Linked DNA regions of Schizosaccharomyces pombe. Changing the gene in region 2 together with the main gene of any one other region gives a genetic interaction. Each region holds a gene or a part of one and is shown on either strand. Other genes may lie near its edges. The genes, in order: php5 and cgs1.

The links.
Region 1: of cgs1 (region 2) and php5, changing one suppresses a phenotype caused by changing the other (phenotypic suppression), as found in Schizosaccharomyces pombe (one study listed by BioGRID).

Annotation. Positions count from the first base shown.
Region 1 is NC_003423.3:3,393,369-3,398,625, forward strand, and holds php5 (CCAAT-binding factor complex histone fold subunit Php5), read right to left. Parts: upstream 3,139-5,257; 5' UTR 2,333-3,138; coding exon 1,988-2,332; exon of another isoform or gene 1,943-1,987; coding exon 1,913-1,942; exon of another isoform or gene 1,855-1,912; coding exon 982-1,854; 3' UTR 536-981; downstream 1-535. Other genes in the region: mitochondrial [2Fe-2S] cluster assembly NADPH-ferredoxin reductase Arh1, read left to right, coding at 4,260-4,466, 4,549-5,257. UniProt on the Schizosaccharomyces pombe protein: Component of the CCAAT-bound heteromer, php5 is essential for DNA-binding activity. It is essential for transcription activation of cyc1. It is the linchpin that binds to the subunit association domains (SAD) of php2 and php3 to bring these proteins together.
Region 2 is NC_003424.3:3,641,247-3,646,450, reverse strand, and holds cgs1 (cAMP-dependent protein kinase regulatory subunit Cgs1), read right to left. Parts: upstream 3,423-5,204; 5' UTR 3,213-3,422; coding exon 3,083-3,212; exon of another isoform or gene 2,818-3,082; coding exon 1,709-2,817; 3' UTR 815-1,708; downstream 1-814. Other genes in the region: SPOM_SPAC8C9.04 (uncharacterized protein), read right to left, coding at 1-176; SPOM_SPAC1142.09 (uncharacterized protein), read right to left, coding at 3,606-3,953; DNA-binding forkhead transcription factor for ribosomal proteins Fhl1, read right to left, coding at 4,232-5,204.

The DNA.
Region 1 (5,257 bases), on a different chromosome or scaffold from region 2:
TTTTGAATTAATATTTAATCGTTACGTTTCCTCTCAATGTTATGTTTGGCTTACTAGGGGAATTCGTTATTATCGACAAGTTTAGTCGATAATTTGTTAGCAGCGATGTCGCAACTGATAGTTTTAGCAACTTTTTTTACGTAGTTTTTTTCTGCAGAACAGAAGTTGCTTAAAAGCTAGTAGATGCCATTCGTTGTTGTTTGGGGGTAGATTAAAGAATTCTAAGCTTTAGTATAAGAATAATTTGTTTCTCCTCTTTCTGCCTATCTGTTGTTCATAATCAACTGCGTAGTTCTGGTGAAGGAGTAAATTAAACTGCCTCGCACCGCCGTACTCATTTTTACCTCGAGTATGGTGGCCGTGGAATGGTGGTTTTTTATGCAGTCGGGAATGAAAGCAGCTGTAATTTCCTTGCATAATGAGCCTAAATACCTTTTTACATAGAAGTTAAAATTTATGAGATTTTAAATTAAAAAATCATCAAAAGTGCAAATTTTCAAGTACATATACGAATAAATTTAATTATAAAGTAAACCTAAACGTTGTTTAAAGCTAATTGCTTCTTGGTAACCGATTGCAACATGCCATCATTTATTTACATTGACAACCCGTAAATATCCATAATAGGTAGAATGTTATCGACAATGAATTTCAAATGCATATATATGTTTAAGTAAAACAAAATACTCTACACTAGCAGTCCCGCAATGGGAAAATAAAGAGGCAGCAAATATGAAAAGCTTCCGTCATTTCTTTTTCGGTCTTGCTAAAAAAATAAAACCACACATAGCTTAAAAAAAGTAACAATGACTAGACATAGCATGTCATGAAAATCAACTGTTTCTTTAAGCTTTTGTAGATAAACCGAAAATTGACAAATTGAAAGTTCCACCTAAAAATGCATCACTGTTGGATCCTCCCAAATAATTTAATAGAAATTATTTAAATTGCATGTTCTAAATCAACAGGTATTAAAAGATATTACTGGGGTTGTTGCGAATAGCGAGAAAGAGGGTTTTGTTGCTGGGAAAACTGCTGATGCATTGGGTTTCCCTGACGCCCTTGCTGAGTTTGATACATCATAGCGTTTGGCTGTGAATAAAGTCTCTGTTGCTGATCGAATTGCCGAGGAGATCCAGGTCTTCTTGACATACCATATGCAGAAGGATCAAACATTTGAGACTGTTGCATATTAGGTCGCATATTACCTTGAAATTGGGGCATTTGATATCCCATAGGGGATGACTGCAATCGGAAAGCTGAGGATCCAGATTCGAGATGCGTAGGTGGATAACGGTATAAATGCTCAGCCATGTACGGTGCTACCATGACCGGTCTTTGCATATTCATCTGGTTAACATTTCCGGAGTTATCTGACATTTGTAGTTGTGGATATTCAGAGCCCAGACGCTGCTGTTTATACATAGATTGATCAATATCTTGCATTTGCTGCATTCTGGATGGATGAGAGGAATACTGCATTGAAGGCTGACTTGACTGTTGATTTGAAAATGGAAGTTGACTACCAGTTGGCATTGGAAACCCTTGATTGGGTAAGCCAGCTTGAGTGGGGAAAGGTTGTAAACCATTCATACCACCCATAGCAGCAACTTGAGTAGCAGACATATGAGCTTGACTGGAAGATGCGCGGGAATTATTGTTATCTTTAGATATAATATCAATTAAGAAATCATACATTTCAGATTTTGATACTGCATTTGCAATATCGGATCTTTGTAGTGTCCTTCGTTGATTTTTTTTGGCATGAAGCCAAGCCCTCATAGTAAGCTCTGCAATAAATATCTCACTTCCTTTAGCGAACAGAAAAGGAGCTTCTGCCGAGATCATTTTATTCTAAAAAAATTAGTAAAAGTTAATGTCAAAAAGTATTCGAATACTCAAAGTAACGTACCTTCACATCATCGTCAGTTTTCATAACTTTCTGCATAATCAATAGTTAGTAATTAATTCAGAAAAAGTGGCATACCTTAATACGAGCTAAGGGAAGATGCAGAGTTTTTACAGCTTGATCGTCATGTTCCAATGTATCGATGGTTTTTTGCCAATATTCAGCAAGGGCTTGTGCATCACTGCCAACAAGACCTTGAGTAACATTATCAAATGGACTAGCAACCTCAATGGGTGCACTAGCGTTGTAGTGATTGACAGCAGTTGGATCAACATCGGGGACTGGTTGTTGGAAGCGAGAAACAGAATCTTGACCATAACCTATCCGTACCTGAGAATTAGGATTGCCAGAGGGATCAACATATTCTCCTAAACCTTCGGGAAAGCCTTGTTTCAAGGAATAGGAATCAGGAATAGAATTCATTTTGCAATGAATCTTAATTGAAAAACGAAAAAAAGTCTACAGAAAGGCAATTTAGTTTAAAAAGAAAACTGGAAACGTAAAGGCCTTTGCCAATTAGATAAGAGATCAATGCAATCTCACTGGTGACAGGTTTAAAAAAACGACAATGACAAAAATTGTAACTATGCCGGGATCTAACAAATACCAGTTTCCTAAAAACAAAGCTGTTAAAGAAACTGACAATAATTTAAGCTAAAGAATTTCAAATCGAAAATCTAAATATTAAGAGGCGATAAAGATGCGGATTAAAGAAAACTTCCAATACCTTGATGTACAGCTTAACAAAATCGTAACCAAGATAAGTAGAAATAAAATAGAAAGGGAGCGGAGTAGTCTCCGGTAAAATGGGGAATTAAACTTATATGAGAGGTGAGCAGGAGACGAAACAGGGAAGTAAAACAAATTGACGTCAAGTTGAAGAGTGGAACGGAAAGAAAAAAATAAAAAGTTTTACAATCGAAAGGAACACGAACGGCTAAACACGAGGCTTAGTTGCAATATCTAAAAAGATAAATACCAATCGTCTTAATTCACGAAAAACTCGTAGAATGAGTAAGACAAAGCAACAAGTGCAGTTACTAACGTATCTCTAACACATTAACTTCTTAAAACAAAGAACTTCAATAAAGAACACTAGTAAAGCACCTTAACTCGTCGAAGTGTCTTGAATTATCTATGTAGCGTATTACACCTGGCTTAATTAAGTATATAGAGTGCAAAAACACTCAATATAGCGAAAATCGGTACGATTGAATTTATTGGTGGCTGGCAGAAGATGGTTGGCTGTCACACAACTTATTGATGGAACCGGTTTATAGTACCACATACTTTGTTTCTACAATTGCTAAAACACTTTAACGACACGTAAATATTCATTATTTGATATACATAATTAATGTTTTCGCGGTAGTAGATATAATACTATAAACAATAGCATGTGCAAATATTATTCAGTAATTAAAGCAAACAGAATAGAAAATACGTATAGTAATTGACTTCAATCCAGGAATTACATTAAAATACATCCTTGTTAATTGAATCTTACGCCTTTTTAAAGTCCTCGCAAAGATAAAGCTTACCGCGTTACAATTTGTTGGTCTTACAACAGTTCTTTAAACGTGAAAGAGTAATTGACCTTTATAAATAGAATTATTTTGAATGTAATAAATTCTTATTTTTTGTTTTATCATTATAATAGTAGGAATTAGAAAACACTTTCAAGTAGCTAGGTTTAGCATCTTTATAAATAAGTATGATTGAATAAGCAGAGATTAATTATTTTTAAGAAATTTAAATATATCGTTTTCAAATTAACCATTTGAGCCACAATCATCTAACTAGTTATTTGAAATATCATAAAAAAATCATTGCAGAAATCAGTTTGAAGCTGCTTAAGTCACTCATAATAACAACATAAAACACTTATTTGAAGGTTTGCACTTTACTATATGAGATGTTTGTTGCTGGTAATATCGTAAGCAACGATCAGCAAAAGTTCTGTTGTAGCGTTTGATTCAACTTTCCTGTTTGTAATTACCTTTGATTTAATAAGAAATTTCCTTTTTCTAAATACTGACTGATCTTATCATATAAATGCTTTGCTCTCAAAAGGCTTGGCTGCTTGAACCTGACCACTCATCCAATGCTATAAAATTCACTAGTTGTATAGGTGTCACCAAACAGTTTATTGAGATTAAACATTTAAAGCTTTAAAACTAATGAATCAGTTTTATTAAGCATTGGTAGCTTTTCTTTTCGTTTTGAGGAGAGTCCAGTTGTTAATGATAATTGCTGCTAGTTTTATATCAGATTTACAATCACGAAGATATCCTTCACTTCTTCATTTCAATCATTTTTTGTTTTTCTTTCATCTTAAGGCTAAGAAAGGATGCTATCACGATTCATTAAAAGAACATATAGCACTCAAACTTCTTCACCTGTAGTCGGCATCATCGGTTCTGGGCCGGCTGCTTTTTACACAGCCCACAGACTCTTACGAAATGACCCAAATGTCAAAATAGATATGTTTGAATCCCGCCCAGTTCCATTTGGGCTTGTACGTTATGGAGTTGCCCCAGATCATCCAGAAGTTAAGGTAAGTCTGTTAAGCCAAGAAATATTGATTGGTTTAAAAATGGATCTTATTAAATTTATTATACAGCTAACCTCTATTGTAGCATGTAGAACACAAGTTTTCCGAAATTGCTGAGTCTACACAATTTCGCTTCCTTGGTAACGTAAACGTTGGGACTGATGTTTCTTTACGGGATTTGACTAAAAATTATGATTGTTTGGTCCTTGCCTATGGAGCTGCTGGGGACAAGAGACTGGGAATTCCAGGGGAGGACTTGTCAGGTGTTTATAGTGCGCGAGAAGTGGTGGGTTGGTATAACAGTGATCCCAGAAATCAAAATCTTGAGTTGGATTTAAGTCAGGTAGAGGATGCAGTAGTTATTGGACATGGTAATGTTTCACTTGATGTAGCTCGAATCCTTTTAAGTAATCCTGCTCAATTATCCCCAACTGACATTAATCCATTGTTCCTCAAATCACTTGAAAGAAGCAATTTAAAAAGATTACACATTGTAGGAAGAAGAAACATATTTTCTGTCTCGTTTACTATCAAAGAATTGAGAGAACTGTTTGCCCTATCAAGTGCAGTTTTCTTTGCTCCTTCCTTTAATTATTCTACAAAGTGGATGAATGAAACAGATGCAAGCGGTTTGGATAGACCTAGAAAGAGATTGTTAAAGCTATTAGTTTCCGAAATCCAGAAAGCTGTTTCAGAGAAACGAGTAGCCCCTTATTCAAAAGACAAGAAATGTTGGAATTTGGAATTTGGCTTAACACCTGTTGAGATTCTAGGACATAAGGGAAATGTTGAAA
Region 2 (5,204 bases):
TTTTTGGCGCGTTTAGCGGCCTTCTTCTTGTTATCCTTGGTGACGGACGCCTGGGAAGAATTGTTATTCTGCTCGACCGCGTTGGTACTTTTCGAATCCAGCTTCTCCTGGACTCTCGACGTTACTTGGTGAATTTCATTTTTCGTCTGTTTAACAATATCGGGATTCGTGGTCATATTCAACTCAATTTTTGTTCTACTTTTACACGCTCTGCGTTCTTGTTTGGTGGTTGGTAGAAGTTGTAAATCTTGGCGTAACTAGAATTTATACGAAACCCTGTTATGTGAGTGAAAAAATGCATATGTAAACAAAGTTAATTCAGACGAAAGTAAGACACAAAACAAAACATTTCTTTACCAAAACATTGCTTCGCTGATCATCTTCTTAATATTACAATTTATCTCGAGTGCTTAACTTTATTCTGCAGTAATTGTCATTTCTACCCGTTGTGCTTGTTGTGAATAACCTACCCTACTAAGAACATTCACAGTAAATATGTAGTATGGAATATGGGGAAAAAAATTTTTCTTGTTTAAGAAAACCTTACGCATAGTTCGCAACTGTAGTCGTTTTTTTATTTATTATGTTCGCAAGAACATTGAATGTACGAAATTGAGTATTCTTTAAAATTTTTTGTATCCCATTTCGTACGGATTTGATAATTGAATAAAAGTCCTTTCGCTTTTTGCTGAATTTATTTGTCTAACAAGATATTCGTTTTATAAGTTTTTTACACAATTTGCATTCTCCTAGTTACACGTATCGTTTATCGCAGACTGTAGTTTCATCTAATTTGCACCCCTTTACTCAAAACTTGGTAAAAATTTTGTGTATTGTATTAAAAAACTATTCTCAATTCTTGATATTAGTCAATTTCTCATAAAATTTTTAAAGTTATGTCACGTAACTACAAAAACCGAGAACTCACTCAGTTTGCATACAAAACATCCACACTCTTGAATTTTTAACACTTCATCCCTTTCCCCACGTCTAGCGTCTGCCTAAAGCTTTCTAAGTATTTCATGCTTGCAAGTGTTTACGGACCACGGTAATTCTTGTATAATGTGCGTTACTCCAATGCCAAGTACATTATTGAATGCAGCTGCTGTTTTGAAGAGTGTGTGATTATTCAAAAAACAAATATAAGAACTCTCCATATAGATAGAAATATTTGACGATATCAAATATCGATTAAAAAACAAAAAAAAACAGGATGAAGAGAACGATAAAATAACTGTCATGATCCGTACGAAAAAAAAAACACAAACTAAACGGTAAGCTTCCAAACATCAAATGCTGCGATATTCGACAGATAAAAATAATAAAAAAAAAAGGAAATTTCAAAAAGAAAAAAAAAAACAAAATAAGAACAGTGAAGTGGTAATCACGAATATAATTGGAATTAAAACATTAACAAACCATATCCAGTGCCATGCTAGAACAAGACATAAAGGTTTTCAAAGAAATAAAAAAGAATAATACGTATATATACATTATCACATATAATGCTGAATTAGATAAGTAATCCAAACAAAACATGTTCAACATGAATAAGTAAATTATTCCAGGGATAATGGTAAACAATCACATGCATGCATGACCAATATGAAAAAGTTAGAAGGCAAACAAACAACAGGGAAATTCTTTAGCATATCATGACAGGTCATTATTACAAAGATAGTTTCAAAGAAAACAGATTATAGAAATTTTATGCTTTAGTTGATGGAGGTGACCTATGAAGAGATTGGTCACCATACTCATTATCCATTCCCATCCTGGCACGAGGTTGATTACGCATCAAATCGATCGCGTTACCAAGTAGTCTATTAAATGTAGGTTTATCAAATGTAGCAAGTTTCAGGCGAGTTTTTGCCTGTACCGTCGCATTTCTCACTGTTTCGTGAATTAAAGCTAGTTCACCAAAGTAATCTCCCTTGGTTAGGGTAACGACTACGCCTTTGCCATTCTTCACTACTTCAGCCTCGCCATCCTCTATCAGATAAAACTGGTTACCAATGTCGCCTTGTCGAATAACGATGCTACCGGCTTGATACACGACTGTCTGAAGAGCATCGGCAATTTTTTGTCGTTGATATTTGTCAAGGCTTGAGAGAATGGGAACTTCTTCAAGGAGGCTTTCATACAGCATCCTCTGGCGATATGCGTTTTCAAATACGATACGACGGAAACTTGTACGATCTAATGCGTAAATTACATTATTTGGTGTTTTGGAGACCACCGATGCAGCTCGTGGAGCATTATACATGAGTGCCAACTCTCCAAAATATTCACCGGGAGAAATCGTAGTTATGTAGTTACCATAACCACTCGAAAGCACTTCTTCAGGGGTAATATTTAGTTCGGGCCTTTTGTATACATCGAATTCACCTTGCTCCACAATATAAAAGTAATCTCCAACTGCTCCTTGGACAATGACAGCAACACCAGCCTCTCCAATCCGTTTTTCAGTCATAGCGTTCAGAACCTCGTTGTAATGTTCTTCATCCAAATTCTTAAACAAAAAGTTCCCAGCAACTGAGCGCTTTAGTCTTTTCAAATCTTCAGGATCCTTCGGAGGAAAGGTTCGTTTGGTCTCTAGTGCAAATGCACTAGGATTCATCGACTCAGTGGAAACAGATTGGCGACGCAACAGATTGTAGTTTTGCGGATATGAAACGTTCATTTCTTTTAATCCTCCCAATTCAGGAACGTATTTGGCATCCGGACCAATTGCCTCGGGGCCAGCAACCATATCGTTGAGCTCAGACAGGAAATCGCTTTCATCTCCGTCGCTAAAAGACTCTGTAATGGTGTCGCCTAAAAGAGAAATTTGTTAACATGATAAAACAAAAAAGGGTAAAATTTGTGTAGTATAGAGTGGGAGATTAAATGGGTACAGGGTCCTTAAACAACTTTGTGGAATTATTAACAGCCAGGAATCATAATTGCTGTTTGCTGACTAAATTTAGAAAATACTTACTATAGAGCAAAACAAAGTAAAAAACCACAAAAAAGAACCCATATTGACCATCATTTACTTTTCCTCTCCACTAAACATAGCTATCCAGAAGCATCTACTTACCTCGACGAAATACTGAGCGCTCAGCTTTCAGCTTTTCTCCAAAAAAGTCATAGCAAAATTGAAGTACATCTGAAGGATTTTGCTCATCAACAAGGGCTTTTAGCTCCTCATATACTTCTTCGAAAGACATGTCTCCTAAAGTTTACGTGCCTTTCTTTCAAAAAATGCGGTTTTTTGTTTCTTACTCTCAGTGAATCACAATCTCGCGGTTTTTGTTCGCTTCAGCTTTTCCTGACACTTTAATCAACCACAAGAGGTAAATTTTCCAAAATAAAAGAGCTGAATTCAGCTATACAAATCAGTTATTTACCTTCGTTTGTTACGGTTGAGATGTATGTTTAAAGTCTACCTGAGGCGTTGGACTAAAATGGATGGATGCCTGCATTAGCTCACTCATACGTCATAAAATGTACTACGCAATGCCCTGACTCCATAATATGGGGTTTATCGAAGCGCATAAAAAAATAGAGAGTAGAATGTTTGACGATGCAACATAGCTTGCGTTTTCCAGTGTTTCGGTATATTATTTTGTGAAGCTTCTTGTACATCCGTGAGTTAAGTTAGTTAAGAAATGAATAGTGAGCGGTCTATGGAAAAGTGATATGATAAATATACATCTATAGTAAGAAATTAGAATCGCTGAATATGAGTTGTTTGTTTTCAAAACAAATTCAATGTAACTTTTGAAGTCTATCAGATCAGAGAGCTTGCCCGACAGGATTACAACAATAATAGTTTTGGTCTTATTAAAAGTGCTATAAAAACAATCATTGAAGTAAATATGCTTTCTGTATTGGCTAAACAAAGGTTTCAATGAAAACGTAAATAAGGAATCGCTAATGTTCACAGATAACAAAAGCGAATCCTCCATACCCTTCCTGCTTTGCTATTAACTTTTTCGACAAGAAAACGAAAATGCTTATTAAATGAAATAAAACCAGACGGCAATTTATTATGTAAAGTATTAACTAAGGTAAACATTAAACACATGAGAAATAAAAGTAGAAACCACCCAAAGACCAAGTTGTGCAATCACTGTCAAAAAAAGAAAAATGAAACAGCTTATGCATGCTGGTAAGTGTAATTTTCGGCACTAATGTATTAATTAAGAAGTCATCAACAACGTTACGTGCATGAGCATTAGTAAATTCAGGTATAAGAGGATGATGTCTCGTCCAACGGTCGCTTTACTCCTCGTAAAGCGTCGCTTGAGTTTGATGGTAAATTCATGCCCCTTACTGAAGATGAGTCGTCAACATTGTTTCCGTTCTTTGCATTAGTATCAAAAGATCCATTTTCGTTTTCCATTATATCTCTTTTACTAAAGCTTGATGCATTTCCAATGGAATTCATCCTTTGTCCTTGATTGCCTGTTTCAACTCTCTCTAAAGTATCATTAGGCGAAGAGTATAAAGGCCGATCAGAAGTGAATGGTTTGTTTATTGGTATGGTGTGTAGATTTTGATGGCTTGTTATCTCTGATTTGCTTTCAGAAGCAGTGGAGTTGTACGACGATGATCGAACTGACGATGGCCCCGCGGACACATTAGCCATTGCTCCTGGGGGTAACGGGTCTCCAATACTCTGGCGTGTATCTGGTAACTTCGAAGGAGCAGATGGCCTAACATATGGAGGTGGTCCAACGTTTACTGCAGGACGTTGAGTGACTGAGATACTAGGAGACGGTGATGTTATGTTAGGGTGCGGCATTGCAGTCGGCGCCGGATTAAGTTGCTGTGAAGTATAAGCTTTACGACGCTTTGCCTGTTGTTGCACTTGTTGGGGCCCTTGCATTTGCGTTTGCTGCTTTTGAAGTTTTTGGGCTAAAGCCACAGCGAGAGCATTCGCAATCGCTGTGGCTTGCTCCGGGTTGTTGGCAGCGGCAGGTCCTAGCTGCTTATTAATGTGCTGTTGGAGTAGTGAAATTGCTTGAACGGCTTGCTCGTTGGGAGCCTGTTGCTCTCCATTTGCATTCTTGAAAAACTCGGGGTTCAAAGCAAGTTTCCCATCGCGCATAATGATAGGTTGAATGCCATTTTGAAGTAAGGATTGTGGTCGATCCTCTACATTTTCTCCTCGGGAAGTATGAGTTTTACTACGACTAGTTTCTTTTTGCGGATTA